Linked DNA regions of Saccharomyces cerevisiae S288C. The protein of the gene in region 1 binds, or shares a complex with, the protein of each later gene. Each region holds a gene or a part of one and is shown on either strand. Other genes may lie near its edges. A codon is read from its position in the direction of its gene.

Evidence for each region.
Region 2: the proteins of ELP6 (region 1) and IKI1 are in contact, whole or in part, in a crystal structure (PDB 4A8J), measured with the Saccharomyces cerevisiae proteins. Residues at the interface, in NP_014043.1 of Saccharomyces cerevisiae: Asn27 (codon at 1,976), Ser28 (codon at 1,979), His29 (codon at 1,982), Phe33 (codon at 1,994), Thr35 (codon at 2,000), Gln37 (codon at 2,006), Ser164 (codon at 2,387), Asn167 (codon at 2,396), Asn168 (codon at 2,399), Lys169 (codon at 2,402), Thr172 (codon at 2,411), Pro173 (codon at 2,414), Leu175 (codon at 2,420), Arg176 (codon at 2,423), Phe190 (codon at 2,465), Asn191 (codon at 2,468), Ser198 (codon at 2,489), Ser202 (codon at 2,501), Gln205 (codon at 2,510), Asn206 (codon at 2,513), Tyr208 (codon at 2,519), Lys209 (codon at 2,522), Ser210 (codon at 2,525), Phe212 (codon at 2,531), Ile213 (codon at 2,534), Lys214 (codon at 2,537), Asn218 (codon at 2,549), Asn220 (codon at 2,555), Asn222 (codon at 2,561), Pro223 (codon at 2,564); in NP_012057.3 of Saccharomyces cerevisiae: Ile31 (codon at 1,633), Thr34 (codon at 1,624), Tyr36 (codon at 1,618), Phe60 (codon at 1,546), Glu61 (codon at 1,543), Thr62 (codon at 1,540), Val63 (codon at 1,537), Asn64 (codon at 1,534), Phe72 (codon at 1,510), Asp74 (codon at 1,504), Thr76 (codon at 1,498), Gln77 (codon at 1,495), Tyr111 (codon at 1,393), His136 (codon at 1,318), Asp138 (codon at 1,312), Ile139 (codon at 1,309), Lys140 (codon at 1,306), Glu142 (codon at 1,300), Leu187 (codon at 1,165), Asn189 (codon at 1,159), Glu190 (codon at 1,156), Phe191 (codon at 1,153), Arg192 (codon at 1,150), Ile193 (codon at 1,147), Pro194 (codon at 1,144), Arg195 (codon at 1,141), Gly196 (codon at 1,138), Leu197 (codon at 1,135), Asn198 (codon at 1,132), Asn199 (codon at 1,129).

What each region holds. Positions count from the first base shown.
Region 1 is NC_001145.3:896,508-900,052, forward strand, and holds ELP6 (Elongator subunit ELP6), read left to right. Parts: upstream 1-1,897; coding exon 1,898-2,719; downstream 2,720-3,545. Other genes in the region: UPA2 (putative methyltransferase), read right to left, coding at 1-162; PP1-complex regulatory subunit GLC8, read right to left, coding at 407-1,096; TGL3 (bifunctional triglyceride lipase/lysophosphatidylethanolamine acyltransferase), read right to left, coding at 2,872-3,545. UniProt on the Saccharomyces cerevisiae protein: Component of the elongator complex which is required for multiple tRNA modifications, including mcm5U (5-methoxycarbonylmethyl uridine), mcm5s2U (5-methoxycarbonylmethyl-2-thiouridine), and ncm5U (5-carbamoylmethyl uridine).
Region 2 is NC_001140.6:478,960-482,712, reverse strand, and holds IKI1 (Elongator subunit IKI1), read right to left. Parts: upstream 1,724-3,753; coding exon 794-1,723; downstream 1-793. Other genes in the region: GPI-anchor transamidase subunit GPI16, read left to right, coding at 1-708; ubiquitin-binding TORC1 subunit KOG1, read left to right, coding at 2,041-3,753. UniProt on the Saccharomyces cerevisiae protein: Component of the elongator complex which is required for multiple tRNA modifications, including mcm5U (5-methoxycarbonylmethyl uridine), mcm5s2U (5-methoxycarbonylmethyl-2-thiouridine), and ncm5U (5-carbamoylmethyl uridine).

The DNA.
Region 1 (3,545 bases):
AACATTAAACAGCGATGCAAACTTGGCCACTTGGTACACCTTATGCGTGATTTGAGAGAGGTTGCGACAGTCCGATACCAATGTCGTGGGGATACAGAGTGAATAATGTCTGGTTTGTGATAGAGGTTTCTCAACCTTTTTGAACTTCCTCGTGCTGCTCATCAAACTAAGTGATACACAGCTTTGTGGTCAGTAGTATATATTCCTGGGACCGGTAGTAGTTGTGAAACAGAGTACTCTCACTTGCCGATCACAGCTCATCGATGGGAAATTTTTCATGTATAAAATAAAGCTTGTTAAAAAATCAGTTCGTTTCGCGTGATAACAAACAGTGCATATTTATGTACCAAGAATCCAAAAAATAAGATATATTTAGTATAGGTAAACGTTATGGAGGTGTCATGTTTCATGGTTCTTTTGTCGTACTATCATCTTCGTCTTCGTCTTCGTCCTTTAGCGCTTCACGGGACTTTTTGTTGAAAATTGCCCTTACGTCGTAATGCTTCTTTCTCATTTCTTCAAATTTCTTATGTCTAGCCTCCGGTGAGTCTTCATCATTCTCGTCGTTGGTCTCAAAATCCGGTTGTTTGTTCTCTTTGATTTCAAATTCCGGTTCGCCCAGGGACAAATCGTCGATGTCATCGTTTGCCACCTGGCATGGTTTTTTATCACTATTATCCTCATCTTCATCATCATCTACTCTGTAGTATTCCCCGTGAGGGTCCACAGCACCTTGGTAGGGGGTCTTGGGCTCGTCTATGTGAATATCTTGGAACTGCTTTTTTGTTATTTCATTTTCTGCTAAATTTCTTTGGTTCCATTGAACTCGCTCTTCTGGTGTCATCTTGGCCAACATGTCTTGCTCATGTTTCAGTGACAGTGTGTCCTTTGGAAGGAAGGTACTCGATGTTCCAATTATCTCCCCCTCCTCTTTTGTATTATCTAGTCCCGGTATATTCCTTTTATGTGATGTCAATTTGGCATTTTTCTGCGTATTTTCGTAAACTTGTCTTCTAAACTCTTCAAGCGTTTCTGGATCCTGTTGCGCCAGCTGCTCCGGCGATAAGGCTAGCGGGTTTTTAAGTATACCTCCCATTATTCTGCTGATGTGCGTTCTTGATGATACGAACTCGTTGTACTGATGAAGCTCTTGGACTTTAAGTTGTAGTGGTGTTCTCAAATTATCCTTTCGGTGGAAGTCATTTCTCCCTAAAAAAGCGTGAGGGCAAAACTTGAAACCGGGTAAGAATATGCGATAGTACCGTTTTGCCTCTAAAGACAGTGCTTCAGAGAAATATTAGCAAGGTGTCGAATCAAGTTATACTAGATAGGAGGATTTCATAATGAATAATGCTTTAAAATGGTTCTCACCTTTATTTTATCATTTTCTTCTTTTCTTCTGCTATTGATTTGGTAGTGTTCGGGTTAATTCATTTTTTTGTTCAATAACAAGAACCAAACATAAAAAAAAATACTTTAAGAATAAACAAGACTGATGAAGCATAGATCATATTATTAGAGCGCGTAAGGTATGTAGAGCACAGATTGGTCCTTCGAGTGTGATTATATAATTTTATATACGCTCCTTAATTTAAAAGCGGCTTAGATAGATTTTTTATACTTTGCTGTTGGAAAATTCCTGCTGAAGCAAAAGAATTTGCAATTCGTTCTTAGCCTTTAACCCCAATTTTAAGGCTGAAGCCGTGGCTTATATCATGGGCTTTGTTTATCCAACTTTTCACATCTATAGTACGCTATCTTTGCATCTCTTAGGCATGAATTGATAGGCGATGAGCAGAATGAAAAATGAAAAAAAAATAAAAGTACTAAATTGAGGCTAGTAGAAGTTAGGCAAAAACCGTCCAGAACCTCCACAAAAATAACTAAATACACATTTATGGGTAGTGTTCAACGACAAGATTTGGTCCTATTCAGCGACCAATCAGTGCTTCCTGCCCACTTTTTCCAAGACAGCAACTCTCATAACTTATTCTTCATCACCCATCAATCCTGTACTCAACCACTATGGATGATAAACGCACTAGTAGAAACGCACGTGTTAGGTTCCCCAAGTTCCCTTAATGAATCTTCTTCATCGATGCTACCTTCGTCAACTCGCTCCCATGCAGTCCTTGCGTCGTTTATCCACGAACAGAACTATTTTACAAATTCATTAAACAAGCTAAAGATCCCATCTAATAACTACAATGTTTTAGACTTCCTGTCCGACTTCATCGTTAATAATATCCATAATAAGCCAAGAGACAAAATACTAAGTGACGTACTCGCAAAGTTCTCCGCTGCTATACAAAATAACCCAACTGACACCATTGTTATCATCGAACAACCAGAATTACTGTTGTCGCTAGTAAGCGGCCTAACTTGTTCAGAATTAAACAATAAGTTCATCACACCTCTTTTGAGGCAATGCAAAGTGCTAATCATTGTTTCCAATTCGGACATATTTAATATAGATGAATACGATGCTTCTGTTCATTCCTCGAATCTGCAAAATTTCTACAAATCTTCCTTTATCAAATCAATGATTAATTTGAACTTGAATCCTCTGAAGACCGGTTTTGCAAAGGACGTAACCGGCTCATTGCACGTTTGCAGGGGCGGCGCACCCATTGCAACTTCAAACACAAGCCTACACGTCGTTGAAAATGAATACCTATATCTGAATGAGAAGGAGTCAACAAAACTATTTTATCGCTAAATAATGATAAGATTATATACGAGGCACATTGATTCTCGTATTATTGTTTTTTCTATGAACTGAATATATTTTTAAGTACAATATCAATGAAAAATATATGCAATCGAGCTCTATCAATAAAAAAAATAAGACAGAAAAAAGTGGAAACGATACTACCTACTCCGTCTTGCTCTTATTATGTCGTCTAATTTAAATTCGACTGCACATCTTGTCTTAATTAAAGCTAGTGCGGGCCATGTACTTCGTTCACCAGATTTTATCCAGTATGGAATGTTGTTTAGTTGACCTTCAATAATCCTTGTTAATGATAGACTTTTCATCCTTGGTACCACAGCAATCTCCGTAGCTGATCTGGGAGTCTTTTCATCAATTATTAGTCTTTTTATTAATGAGCACAACAGGCCTAAATTATCCAATACCTCCATCCTATGTCGAAATTCCATAGTGGCAATATTTTTTAATTTTCTTTCCAGATGATACTTAAATTTAAACGCCAGCGGTTCCATTTCAGTAAAGTTCAACTGCGGTATGCCCAATTCTGGGATTATGTACTCTGCTGAATCGTTGACTGCCGAACTTGGGGGCACAGGGCTCATTAAAGGCTCTGGCTCAAGATCCTCGACAGTTCCTGCCTTTATGGGTGATTGCGAAGAGGATCTCTGTGTTTTTCTTACTGTATTCGCGTTTATAGGAGGCATATTTGGATAATGCTTATAATAGTAATATTTTGACGTTTTTATTTCATGCTTCAAATCATTTACCACCAATGGTGCCAAGTATGGTCTCGCCAAAGAAACAATGAAGTTATTAACATTGAATAGTTCCG
Region 2 (3,753 bases), on another chromosome or scaffold:
GACTTTATTTTAGAATCGACGGACACTACTAAAGTTACTCCCATAGTTCCTGTCCCAATTCACGTAAGCAGATCTCTGACTGGTAATGGACAAGATCGTGGTGGAATGCGTATTGTTTTCCATAACGACAATGATACCCCTGTGAAGTTGATTTATTTCGAATCATTGCCATGGTTCATGAGAGTTTACCTATCCTCTCTTCAAATTACTTCTACTACCTCTCCGCAATTGCAAGAAAACGATATCATCTTAGATAAATACTATTTACAAGCGGCCGATAGAAAAAGACCTGGCCACTTGGAGTTCACGATGTTAATTCCAGCTAATACGGACATTGTAATGACTTATCAATTCGATAAAGCTCTTCTGCAATTTGCCGAGTATCCACCAGATGCAAACCATGGTTTTGAAATCGATGCAGCTGTAATCACCGTGCTATCTTTGGAGTCCTCATCGTCTCTTTATGAAATGAGAACCTCTACCCTATTGTTATCCCTGTCTACACCGGATTTTAGTATGCCGTATAACGTCATCATTCTAACATCTACAATCATGGGACTCATATTCGGTATGCTATACAATTTGATGGTGAAGAGAATGGTCACCGTCGAAGAGGCCGATAAGATTACGTTGCAATCTGGCTTAAAATACAAATTGCTAAAGCTAAAGGAAAAGTTCCTAGGGAAAAAAAAGACTAAAACAGACTAACAATCTAGCATCTAGATATGTGTATGAAGTATACGTAGTTTACATAATCTGGAAGCACTCACTATTTACCATCAGTTTCTACTTTTTAAAAGGGATCCTCATATGGATCCTCTTCATCATAATCGTCATCCTTTTCGTACTCATAAACAATAGCACCCCCTTGTCCAAAGCTTTGTGCCTCCAGAAAAGGCAATGCGACTTGATCTTTGGCCAGCTTCTGTTTGTTGGATGTTCCTAGGTTGAATGTTGTTAATCCTTGCAACATTTCGGGTGTCTCCAGTCCGTTACTACTGCTCTCCTCTTCTTGCTTAGTGGTTGATAATAATTCATATTCGTGGGTGTTTGAATTTACTATGAAGTCGTATTCCAATGACCTGCCGGACTTTCTTTTATTAACAAGTCGTAATTGAAATATATCGTTATTTAACCCGCGAGGAATTCTAAATTCGTTTAACAATTCACTCACCTCCTCAGTATCGAGAGTGCCTGTTAATACCACATCAATATCTACTATTGTAGTGGCCATAAACTGCAGTAAAGTCAACTTATCAGGATAATTGTTATTCCAATCAGGTATTACCGTACGGTTCTCATCTTTGATGTCTTTATGATAAGTCGCAACCATCGTGCAGTGAGGAGAGGCGATCTCAGACAAAAACCTTGTTATGTATTCTGTAGAAATATAGTTCAATGAATCGATAATGACCATGTGCTTTTTTGCCTGTGTGGCAGTAGCAGCCGGTAGATATGATATAATTTGTTTCACTAAATGTACAAAATCCATCTGCGTAGCGTCAATAAATTGAGTACAGTACGATGGTTTATTCACTGTTTCGAACGAAATGTACACAATTGGATACTCATTTCCTTTACTCTTGCTCTGGTGGACGAATTCTTGGATGAGCTTGTATGAGGTCTGGGCAATAGAATCTAAGCACAAAATGAAAGGGGAGCTTTCTGTGAGCGATAAGATTCTTTTCAAAAGAATGACAGGGTTATGTGACGAACTGGCCATTATATCTTGTTCTACCTGTAGCAATAGCTTGGGTTGGAGCTATTAAAAAGCTCTTAAGTTATCATTCTCCAGAGGTTATAATGGCATCGCTTCTTATATTTGGATTTTTCAAGGTGACCCGCACTATGAGATGATAATCAAGGCAGCATTAATAGTATCAAAAATACTTTAATAAATCATCAATAGGTAGTACTTTACATAAGTATATAGAGGATTTTAAAACTTGTAAAGTTATTTTCGAATGCATTTGGTTTGTAGATTCCTTTGATTACATTTAGCGAATCCTATTGCATGCAGAGAAGGGTAAAAGATACATAATGCCGGAGATTTATGGACCTCAGCCATTAAAGCCACTCAATACGGTGATGAGACATGGGTTTGAAGAGCAATACCAAAGTGACCAACTTTTACAATCACTCGCGAATGATTTCATATTCTACTTTGATGATAAACGACACAAAACTAATGGAAATCCGATTCCTGAAGAGGATAAACAACGAGATGTAAATCGTTATTACCAGCCGATTACCGATTGGAAGATTATGAAAGATCGACAGAAGACAGTAAGTGCGGCCCTTTTATTATGCTTGAATTTAGGTGTCGATCCCCCTGATGTTATGAAGACACATCCCTGTGCCAGAGTTGAAGCATGGGTAGACCCATTGAATTTCCAGGACTCGAAGAAAGCAATAGAACAAATTGGTAAAAACTTACAAGCACAGTACGAAACTCTGTCTTTGAGAACACGCTATAAACAAAGCTTGGATCCTTGTGTAGAGGATGTCAAACGGTTTTGCAACTCGCTAAGAAGAACTTCTAAGGAAGATAGGATACTTTTCCACTACAACGGACATGGTGTGCCTAAGCCTACAAAATCAGGTGAAATTTGGGTTTTCAACAGAGGTTATACACAATATATTCCGGTATCTTTGTATGACCTGCAAACTTGGTTAGGTGCGCCATGTATATTTGTCTATGATTGCAACAGTGCTGAAAATATATTAATCAACTTTCAGAAGTTTGTGCAAAAGAGGATTAAAGATGATGAAGAGGGAAATCATGATGTTGCCGCGCCATCACCAACTTCAGCTTATCAAGATTGTTTCCAATTAGCCTCTTGCACTTCCGATGAACTTTTACTTATGAGTCCGGAACTACCCGCAGATTTGTTTAGTTGTTGTTTGACCTGTCCAATAGAGATTAGCATCCGTATCTTTCTCATGCAGTCACCCTTAAAAGATTCTAAATATAAAATTTTCTTCGAAAATAGTACTTCAAATCAACCGTTTGGTGATAGTAAGAACTCGTTCAAGTCCAAAATACCCAACGTCAATATCCCTGGAATGTTGTCGGATAGGAGAACGCCGTTGGGAGAACTAAATTGGATTTTTACAGCTATAACGGACACAATTGCATGGACATCCCTCCCCCGACCACTTTTCAAAAAATTATTCAGACATGATTTAATGATTGCTGCGCTTTTCAGAAATTTTCTTCTAGCCAAAAGAATAATGCCGTGGTACAATTGCCATCCTGTATCTGATCCAGAATTACCAGATAGTATAACCACACATCCAATGTGGAAATCTTGGGATTTAGCCATGGATGAAGTACTGACTAAAATAGTCATTGATCTGAAAAATGCTCCTCCCGCTACTGCCTTAGAGAGTCAGATGATTCTACAACAACAAGAAACCTTACAGAATGGTGGCAGCTCTAAGTCGAATGCCCAAGATACGAAAGCCGGAAGTATTCAAACACAATCGAGATTTGCAGTGGCCAATTTAAGTACAATGTCTCTAGTAAATAACCCTGCTCTCCAATCAAGAAAATCTATATCTTTGCAAAGCTCACAGCAACAATTACAGCAGCAGCAACAACAACAACAACAATTTACAGGATTTTTTGAACAAAATTTGACTGCTTTTGAATTGTGGTTGAAATATGCTTCAAATGTCAGACACCCGCCTGAGCAGCTTCCTATCGTTTTACAGGTTCTTCTTTCGCAAGTGCATCGTATACGTGCGTTG